Linked DNA regions of Arabidopsis thaliana. The protein of the gene in region 1 binds, or shares a complex with, the protein of each later gene. Each region holds a gene or a part of one and is shown on either strand. Other genes may lie near its edges. A codon is read from its position in the direction of its gene.

Region 1 (4,494 bases):
GGTAGCTCGGTGATTCGCCAGAGAATGGACCCAAGTACTTGACACGGTCAGATCCGTACCATGGGCTGCCTGATGGGCCCTTTGGCTTGGCAACAGTCTTCCTCATTGTCACACGGCCGCTTCCAAGGACTTCAGATGCCGCGGGGGAAAGCTTGACGGCCTTACCGGCGAAGGCAGGGGAGGAGAGAGCCATTGTTGAGGCGGCCATTGAGGTTGAGTAGTGCAGCACAAAGTAAAACGTTTAAGATTTGTTGTTGTAAGCCAAGAAATGGGTGGTTTGGTATTGATGCGATTTTCGCTATATATAATACAGAAATCTAAATACTGTCTTATCTTGAAATATCAATCTCTGAGGTTGCTATTGGCTAGTCATAGATTTTTTTTGGGGTTTAGATTGTTTGTTTGCTTACGTGGTTAATGGCTCGCACTTCGCAGATTCGCAATTGATATGTGTTTTAGATATCTAGGTGCGTTTCATGGATTGGCGAAACACCCACTCATGACGTGACACGTATACGAATAGATCTCTCTATCCTTATGAAATCCTGAGAGCATCAATGTAAACCAAAACAAAAAAAATTTGGATAATTGCCTTGTATAATACATTTTATTAAACCTTTTGTATATATGCTTCTTTTTTTTTTCTTCTTCTGATAATAATAATAACTCTTGGCTAGAGATAAAACATAAGAACAAAGTAGATAAAACTATAAAATTTATGTATGGAAATAAGATTATCTAAAACTACGGAATTGAATCAAACTTTACCACAGAAACATAAGAAATTATTACCATCTTAATTAGCACCTGTATTGACCATAATATTTTATTAGAAGAAGAAGAAAACATTGGAATCCACCAGATCAAGGTGATGGTCAGGGTCATAAGACAGCTCCATAATCACGAGTCATGGTCATAGACTCATAGCCACAAGTCTGCTTCTCCCTTACCAATACCAACGGCTTCAACAACGGCCACAACTAATAAGCCAATTCCAACGGCCACCATATAACTGAACCGGATATTCACCAAACCCATTTCAACCGGAAATTGATCCACAAGTAATTAAAAATGTTCTGACCAAATGTGGAATAGGTGGGAAAATGTTGAAGTAAAGGCCAATTCTATAATGTGAGAGGAAAACTCTTTTTTGAGCTTCAGGAATATTTTCTTAGACCTGACCTTGAATCTATATTTTGTAGTTCTTCAATGATTTGATTTCTCTATTCATTTCCTTATAAATTAAATTACTTGTGAAATGAATTTCTGTTTAGAAAAACCTTGAACTTCCTAGTTGACCAAAGGATTAGAAAATCTTTCTAAGTGGAGTGTCTCCTAATAATGGATCAAAAGTGTTTGGAGCAAAAAAGAACGCATAGTGTATTAGTGTTAACAGCTTTTATAGTTCAAAGTTTAGAATGTGCTCTAAAGCATATGTGTGAGCCTGTGAGGTCTAGTGATTGTAAAAAAGAAAAATTGTGCTTCGTGGAAAGTGATGCAATAAACAACACTTCTAGGGCTGAGTAAAACCAACTAGACATGTAATGATAGCTTAAACCGTTTTCTATAGGAGTGTGATTGAGGAGTAATTTGTTGATGAATTCGGAAAAAGCGAATAAATAAGTTTGTTCAAAAGGTTGTTGAAGTTTACAATAAAGATAACTTGAATCATGATAAGAAAAAAAGTAGCTATATGTTCTCTAAAGTCTAAACCCATGATGATGAACATGCCATATGAATTAATATAGTTCTTTCATGTTCTTAGAAATGGTCGATAAGTTAAAACAGTGTTTCATTAATCGTTGTGTTTCTTCGATAAAGAGTAAAACGTCAAAGTTTTAAGGTGATATCACATAATTCATGAGATTATTTTGGTTATTGGATAAAGTGACGATGAAATCGATTCATAATTGAAATTAAACTGGTAGTGATGATGAACTAATTACCATTGAAAATATTGATATTTATGTGTGGGTAAATGCTTTTTATAATGTTACTTTATATTAATGTTTCGATCATCAGAATCTATATTTTCAAAATGTTATACTTTAAGTTTTAGTTATTGGGTTGTAGCAAAAATCATTCTTGTCACGAGGGTGTAAGTAAGTGTAACCGTTGAAGTATTCAGTGGCTCATAACTTGTGGTCACAAAACGCTTGGCTGCAATGAAAAAATCAAAACAAATGCTGGTGGACTAGAGATTGCCACGTAAGACTACTAAACGATAAAACAAAAATCTTAAAATCCAATGAATGAACAGATAAAGATTACTTCAGATATAACAAACGTTACAATATCCCTATATAATCCAACACTATCGAACCAGTTTTAATCACTCTCACTCACAAGTTAGTCATAAAAAAAAAAAAAACACAAAAAAGTTTCAATGGCCGCCTCAACAATGGCTCTCTCCTCCCCTGCTTTCGCCGGAAAGGCTGTGAACCTTTCCCCTGCGGCATCAGAAGTCCTTGGAAGCGGCCGTGTGACAATGAGGAAGACTGTTGCCAAGCCAAAGGGTCCATCAGGCAGCCCATGGTACGGATCCGACCGAGTCAAGTACTTGGGTCCATTCTCTGGCGAGTCACCCAGCTACCTTACCGGAGAGTTCCCTGGAGACTACGGATGGGACACAGCTGGTCTATCCGCTGACCCCGAGACATTCGCAAGGAACCGTGAGCTAGAAGTTATCCACAGCAGGTGGGCCATGCTCGGAGCCCTAGGCTGCGTCTTCCCTGAGCTTTTGGCCAGGAACGGAGTCAAGTTTGGAGAGGCAGTTTGGTTCAAGGCTGGTTCACAGATCTTCAGCGATGGAGGGCTCGATTACTTGGGAAACCCTAGCTTGGTTCACGCTCAGAGCATTTTGGCCATTTGGGCCACACAAGTTATTTTGATGGGAGCCGTTGAAGGTTACAGAGTCGCAGGAAATGGGCCATTGGGAGAGGCCGAGGACTTGCTTTACCCCGGTGGCAGTTTCGACCCATTGGGTTTGGCTACCGACCCAGAGGCCTTCGCTGAGTTGAAGGTAAAGGAGCTCAAGAACGGAAGATTGGCTATGTTCTCTATGTTTGGATTCTTCGTTCAAGCCATCGTCACTGGTAAGGGACCGATAGAGAACCTTGCTGACCATTTGGCCGATCCAGTCAACAACAACGCTTGGGCCTTTGCCACCAACTTTGTTCCCGGAAAGTGAGCCAAGTTCTATCTGTTTGTAATTTACTTTTCTTTCAATCTTTTGAATTCGAGTGAGAGACAGGAGGAGAAAGAGTAGGTTTGTGTTTGTGGTGGATGGTAGAGACTTTCAGATGTAAATTTGCAAAGACTTTGTATGATTTGTCATTAATCAAATAACTCATTGTTCTCTAAATATGTTTCGTAGAACTATAATTGAATTGGATTTTCAGTTCTTGGGTTCACTCCGTTGTAGAGGCTATTTCTACAATCGAGCAACGTGATTGAACATATTAAGGCAATGGGTACAAAGATTATGTTCTTTTCAAATCAAGAGAAAATGTGATTCTCGGATGTTAGCTTGAACAACACGAAAGAGTCTTTTATATAAGTTTTTTATATTCCCTTGATTTAACTTGTATATCGTCTCTTCACAAAATATGATCGCATTGAAGAAGAAATTGCAATCGTTTTTTTTCTTCTGATTGAGAGAATTAGAGAATAGATAATGAAGTAGTTTCTTCCGTGTTTGGTTGATTCTGAAGCTCGTAACATTGGCTCATACGATATCTGGATAACAATATATCACATTGCTCTGATACCATATTAAAATCACATCCACGCATTGAATGGACTGATCATATATCTTACATATTAGTTAAAATCCATTGTCGTGCGAGAGATTGCCTTCCGTGACATCCTCTGTGGACCAGGTTCGCTTGTCACACTAGCTATAATTGGTGAACACATGATAACATATATGTTTGGAGCATAGAAGAGCTAGCGCCTGTGTCATTGGTGTGTGGTATCGAAAGAACAAGAGAATAGAACAGGAGAACATGAATATAGCTAGGTTTATTCATTTTCACCCCAAAGCTTAGAAATTGCGTTCCAAAGAGTGGGTGAATTCATGTGTGAGGGCAATTAGTGATTGTAAAAATAAAATTGTGTTTTGTAAAAAACTTTTACTGTCGAAATTATTTAGGGTGATGAAAAAATCAGTAAACTACGAATGATAGCTTAAAGAGTTTCTATCAAAGTGATTGAGGAATAGTTTGTTGCAAATTAAACCTCTAACAAAATGTTTTCTGTTGTGGTTTTTCATCTCTACAAATTTTGAATTTTATGATGAATTAGAAAGATAGAATGAGTTACTTTAGATTTTAAAAGGTTGTTCAAGTTTACAAAACAGATTACTAGAATCATGATTAAAAATTTACAAGCTACATATTGTCTAAACCAATGATGTTGAACATACCAGATGATAGTTTTTCAGTGTTTGAACAATCAATTGGATAGTTTTTATGTTTCTGCAAAATATGCAAA
Region 2 (5,665 bases), on another chromosome or scaffold:
TGGGATTTGCAGTTTCTTGCACCCTGAAGACAGCAGAAACGGAGATACACAAAGATGGGTTCTAAAGGAGCGAATGACGTAAGCATTTCGTGATATATCGTGTTTCGATATGATCATAAATGAAGCTTAACTAGGAAACAACATGTTGTTTGATATATATAATATATAGGGGCATGGACACGAACGGTGATGGGAAGCTAGAGTACAAAGAGTTTGTAAAAAATGCATATGAAATGTATAAAGAATTCGCAAAGTTCGAGAAAGAGGAGGATGAGAATGTGCCAACACCTCAGCTTCTGTTCGCAGAGATGGACAGAGACAAAGACAGATTCCTCGTGGCCGATGAGCTTCGACCCATTTTGCAATATCTTCAACCTGGTGAGATGAGTTATGCCAAATTCTATTCTACTTTCCTTTGCCACGAGGTTAGTCTCTCCCAACCTAAATCTTAATCTTAAGTTTTCTTTCTCACAACTTTGAAACTCATTAATAGTGGATGTATATGTATAATGCTTAGACTTTCAACGTCCAATAAATTTTAATTATTTTGTTAGGCGGATGAGGATAAAGATGGTAAACTATCTCTTGAAGAGATGTTGCACCACGAAGATGTCTTTTACAAGGCAGTTCATCACGAAGACTTGGACGACGAAGACTATTTTGATCATGATGAACTCTAACTTTTGAATTTGTTTTCCTTCAAATTTTAATCATAATTTTTTTTTGTTCAATTGACTTCTTAATTCATCTCGTCTAGAATGGGTATGTTAGATTGTTAGGCAACGAGATTACATGCACAAATTCCACCGTGGTTGCGTTGATAGTTGGCTTTTGAAGAGTCCACAATGTATATAATACAATGTCAAGATTTTTTTTTTTTTTTTGTGATATGATAAACCAGAGAATGTCACAAAACAAAAAGAATTATAGATGCCTAAAGAAAATATCAAGTAGCTAAAAATTGGAACCACCAACTGTGGCATGAGCCATGCGTTTCTTTTCAAAAAATTTCTCTTAGTCGTTGGAAGATGCATTTATTTGTAAATGTAGTTTCAACGCTTGTGAAAGTGGGATATATAATAATATAAAGCTGGTTCTGTTTGTGAGGTATCTTCATATCTCCATTTCTATGGGAAGACTAGAGTGTTAGACATAGTTACAGGTTTTATATACACTAACGAAAGAGATAGAATGTTCAATTCACTTAAGATAGATGTGAAGACATCCATATGCCAACAGTAACTAAACCGATAGTCGTTGCAGCCTGAACCAGTTCAACCACTACGTTTTGTCGCTGCGCGGGGAGATTCTTCCACTCTGTTCTTCTGTTTATGCAAAAATCGAAACCAAAACACGTTAAGAGTATATAGATTGAATAGCTAATAGATAATGTATACAGAGGTTTCATATAGCAGTGGAACTTTTGTTTAGATGAACCCCTACCCTAGATCAGCAATAATGATGCTAATGTTGTCCTGAGATCGCCGGTCCTGTAACGTTGGAACAAAATCGTACATTTGAAAGTTTTGATTCCTAATCAAAAGAAAGGCTGAGGAGGGTATTAGCTATTTTACCAAAGCTACTTGCGCAAGAGATTCACAAGCAAGCTGTTACATATGGACAGTTAGGAAACTAGTTAAGCCTTAAAGTCATACATGATTATTGAAACTAATTTGATAAGAAGATGAAATAAAAACTTGCCTGCACATTCCCATGTTTCCGGAGCTGATCCCTAACATAACTAACCACATCTGAGCTGTATTGGCAAAACATTGATCACTGTAAGCTCTATACTTTTCCCAATTAAAAAGCATATGACTGAATGGGGGAAAGAGGAAAAAGAAAAGGAAACCTCTTCATGTAGTCCCATAATCCATCAGAAGCTAAAATAATGAATTCCACATCAGATGTCAGAGGTACTTGGAAGATATCTGGAGTCGCCACAACCATGTCCCCTTTAAACTCGATTCTGAGAATTTATCTCATGAGAAACAGATATCCTTGAAATGGAATAACAGGAGAGACGAGCAAAAGTAGAAACAGCTTCCAAGTAGTTCGTTACCTGGAAACAAACTTCTCGGACCATCTTCCTTCATCAACACCCTTCTTTAACATACTGTGTATGAAACCCTTATGAGCAATGAGATAACAATTATAAAAATAGAAGAGCCGTTGTGAGAAGAGAAAGAACCCAACTCATTCTTCTTTGTCTTAAACCGGATGTCACCAAAAGCACGAGATACAGCTATGTCTCCACAAATCCTTCCATTGACAATCTGATTATACAAAAAGCAATGAATCGGTTTTAAGCCAAATTCTCGGAGAGATAGATAAGCAAATCCAATGATACTTGAGGAATTTGAAACATGGAAAATAAGAAGACACACCCATCCACCTGCTTCTTTGACCCTTTTCACTTCCTGAATAGCTGCTCTACTGCTTCCATATGGACGGTGATAATCAGTCAATTCCTCGATTTGCCCAGATCGAGATAAGACCTATTTCAATGCATTAACAAGACTTTAGACATGACCAAGTTACAATGATCCATTTATAAATAAGAAGACTTACTGCACACGAATCACCAATATGAGCAATGAAGGAAACATCATTTCTGATGATCATTACAGTGGCTGTTGAACCTGATTCATCTTCTTCGTCACCGTTAGCTTCTAGCCTGGATCCAAACGCATGATGAATCACTTCATTTCACTCAAAATCATCAAAATTCATTCAAGCTCTGAGAAATTTAAGCTCATTTTCACCATTTGAGCAAATTGCGGTCAACGCTTTCAAAGGCCTTAATCAAAGCTTCCTTGATTGCTGCGAAATCGCCTCCATTCAACAACGATCCAGCTTGCAATGCACCAACACACTCTTTATACAGCTCTTCCCTATCAATCATCATCACCATCGTCAACACTTAAACCCTAGAAGACAGAGCTTGCATGAGAAGCAACACAAGTTACCTGAGGAATTTGACAGAGGACGACCCAGCGTGGCCGTCGAAGACCGCTGCGTAGGAGAAGCTATCGACAGCATCAGAACGGATTACGATGTCGTCTTCCATCTCATCTCGGAATCCTTGAACACTCGTGTAACCCCAACGAATCGGCGTCACGCCAGTCAGAGACGACGGAGCGTCGATCGCAATCGCGGAGCAACGGTGACGACCATACGTGGGATAGACGACAAGGCCACCGCCAGCGTCGGCGGAAGGATAGGCTGAGTGGCGGAGAGTGTTGGAGTGAAAGCGATGAAGATGCGGCCTCAGAAGCGCCATGACTCAGTGAGTCAGGCAAAGCGAGTTAAGTAGAAGAAGAGAAAAATCAAAAGAGTGTCCTTTACGGTTAGTGGCCGTGGATTTTCGTAAAAAAATATCTGAGGATAAGAGAAATCAACGCGGGCTTCTTAACTAACTTAACGGTCCACTTTATAAGTTTTGGGCTTAGGCCCAAATCGTGATCAATCAACTTTTATAGCTTTCCTTTTCAGGAAAGTATTATTGCTGTCGCTAGCAACTGCAAATAGAAAGGTCATGTAGTTATGTTTTGTATAATAAATTTTTGGTTTTGCATAATGCTCTTGTCCTCCTTCATTTAAGAATTAAGATGTTCCCTATTCTTTTACCTTTTTCAAGTATAATTACAATAATCCTATTTATCTAGAGGAACAGTGTAGTTTCAGGGTTTAATTTGGTAAAAAGTTAAGAATAAACTTTTCCTCATGTCTGTAAATTATGTGGTAATATGTATACAGATGGATATTAATATTAGTCTATAAAATTAACTAAAGATTTAATGATTTATAAAAGAAATCGAAGAGATTTGATTTAAATATTGGAAGAACTCATCCGTGGAAGATTCTCTTGTCTCCGCCTCCATGGGATCACTTGCTTAAATCCTTGGTAAACCCTTGCCTGCATTTTATTATTATGTAATCAAAATGAGCCTAAAAATGAATTCATATGCACAAGCCGAAAAAAACAAAGCATATTGAAAAAACACTCCATACTATATAGAGTAACCAAAGACTTTTGAAGGGAAAACCTAAACTTTTTAATCAAAAGGGACATTTATTCAAATCCCAAAAATGTTGAAGTTTTGTTTTGAGTTAGAAATCATTGAATAAAGTTTGAAATTTTTGATAAAACGGTTGGTACTTTGAACAACGTAATAATGTATTTTCCTTTTTTTGATAACGAAAATTATAGTGTTTGCAATTCTGAATCATCGACTACCTTTGACTACAAAAGAATACGATTAACTTGCTAGTTACTAGTAAACTACCCGGTAAGAGTGTGTAATTAGACAGCTAAAAATAAGATGTTAGAAAAGGTGATGAGTGTTCAAAACTTACCAAGAATTGCGATTTGGAATGAGAGAGATTCAAGAGGCTTCCTTTTCTTCTAACTCTACTAATCTTCACCGTTGTACCGCCGCCACCGTCGCAGCAGCGGCTATTGGTGGAACGTGAAAACTCGAATCTACCCTCAGAGGCTCTTTCGCTTCTCCTTATCACTGATAAAGACCGGCGAGGTACATCGTAAGGCCCATCAAGAACTGTGGTCGGAGATGGCTCATCATCGGCTGGAAAAAATAGCCTCGGCGGAAGCTCAAGGCACCGCACGACTCCTCCTCCTCCTCCTTCTCTTTCGTTCTGCTTGGAAGCCAGCGGTTTGTTCTCATCAGAGACGCGAGGTTTTCCCGGAGCTTCCTCCCATAGAAAAGGTACTGATCCAGCGATGTTCACAGGCGGCGTCGCTAGCCCTGGAGTGTCACATGCTCTGTTAAATGGAATCGAGAACAAAGGAAGCTTAGGAGTCGCACAAAACCGTTCTTGATCATCAAATTCAAAATCCATCGCCTTGTTTTTCTGAATAAGAAACTTTCTTTGACGTTATATGAAATGGGTTGGGATTTAGATAGATAGAGACGGTATATTTTGGTTTGAGTTATATGAACACAAGAAAAGGGAAAAGAGAGGATGAATAATGTGAGGAAGTGTGTAGTATTTTATGAAGCTGAAAGAGAAAAATGAACAAAACGCTCCTTGTGGCGCTTCTTATTCACGAGAGTGATCCCAAAGAAGAGAAGAAAATATAAACAAAGTGGGTGGGTGGTCCTACATTACGATTTTCCTAACGTTGGGTCCTTTCAAATTTCATGTCGAGCCTTTATTGCCTATAAATAATACCATTATTTATTGTTATTATTATATAAAGAAAAAAACAATGATAATCAGAGCTGCGATAGTGGTAACAATAAATAATGTATATAAATCCTGAAGAAGTCTTCTTCGTCGACAAAAATAAATTATCTTAAAATAAACAGAGGTGGGTCGTTGTAGGTTTATCCTCGAATCTGTGTGTTGTGGACCGTAGTTATGCCTAAAGATGTAATACATGCAGTAGTATATAAACTGAAAACAAAAATGTAATATAGTAGTTTTTTCATCTAGTTTAGTCCACATTATTTGCTATCTGTAAATCTGATTAATTGTCCATCTTTATCTCAAAACAACGAAAACGAAATAGCCTTTCATACAAAAAGAGAGTATCAAGGCTGTATTTGATGGATATACATTAAACAAAAATGGGTGAAAGTGAGGAATGTGCTACGATAAAGGTCAAAAGGCTGCTCTTGTCGTTGCATGAGATATGTAT

What was found. The genes of interacting proteins can lie anywhere in the genome.
Region 2: the proteins of CAB2 (region 1) and TAP38 are in contact, whole or in part, in a crystal structure (PDB 4YZH), measured with the Arabidopsis thaliana proteins. Residues at the interface, in NP_564340.1 of Arabidopsis thaliana: Arg36 (codon at 2,492), Lys37 (codon at 2,495), Thr38 (codon at 2,498), Val39 (codon at 2,501), Ala40 (codon at 2,504), Lys41 (codon at 2,507), Pro42 (codon at 2,510), Lys43 (codon at 2,513), Gly44 (codon at 2,516), Pro45 (codon at 2,519); in NP_194509.1 of Arabidopsis thaliana: Arg69 (codon at 3,079), Asp93 (codon at 3,007), Gly94 (codon at 3,004), His95 (codon at 3,001), Ala96 (codon at 2,998), Tyr201 (codon at 2,447), Trp220 (codon at 2,390), Val222 (codon at 2,273), Asn223 (codon at 2,270), Arg225 (codon at 2,264), Cys227 (codon at 2,258), Gly228 (codon at 2,255), Asp229 (codon at 2,252), Ile230 (codon at 2,249), Ala231 (codon at 2,246), Val232 (codon at 2,243), Arg240 (codon at 2,219), Arg257 (codon at 2,088), Trp258 (codon at 2,085), Phe262 (codon at 2,073), Asp339 (codon at 1,475).

The regions. Positions count from the first base shown.
Region 1 is NC_003070.9:10,473,785-10,478,278, reverse strand, and holds CAB2 (chlorophyll A/B-binding protein 2), read left to right. Parts: upstream 1-2,309; 5' UTR 2,310-2,386; coding exon 2,387-3,190; 3' UTR 3,191-3,623; downstream 3,624-4,494. Other genes in the region: CAB1 (chlorophyll A/B binding protein 1), read right to left, coding at 1-208.
Region 2 is NC_003075.7:13,850,809-13,856,473, forward strand, and holds TAP38 (thylakoid-associated phosphatase 38), read right to left. Parts: upstream 3,430-5,665; 5' UTR 3,284-3,429; coding exon 2,970-3,283; intron 2,895-2,969; coding exon 2,766-2,894; intron 2,678-2,765; coding exon 2,572-2,677; intron 2,499-2,571; coding exon 2,388-2,498; intron 2,277-2,387; coding exon 2,197-2,276; intron 2,117-2,196; coding exon 2,063-2,116; intron 1,970-2,062; coding exon 1,853-1,969; intron 1,757-1,852; coding exon 1,702-1,756; coding exon of another isoform or gene 1,698-1,701; intron 1,608-1,697; coding exon 1,575-1,607; coding exon of another isoform or gene 1,566-1,574; exon of another isoform or gene 1,491-1,565; coding exon 1,444-1,490; intron 1,326-1,443; coding exon 1,205-1,325; 3' UTR 969-1,204; downstream 1-968. Other genes in the region: AT4G27790 (Calcium-binding EF hand family protein), read left to right, coding at 13-78, 170-425, 555-680; AT4G27810 (uncharacterized protein), read right to left, coding at 3,833-3,919, 4,360-4,863.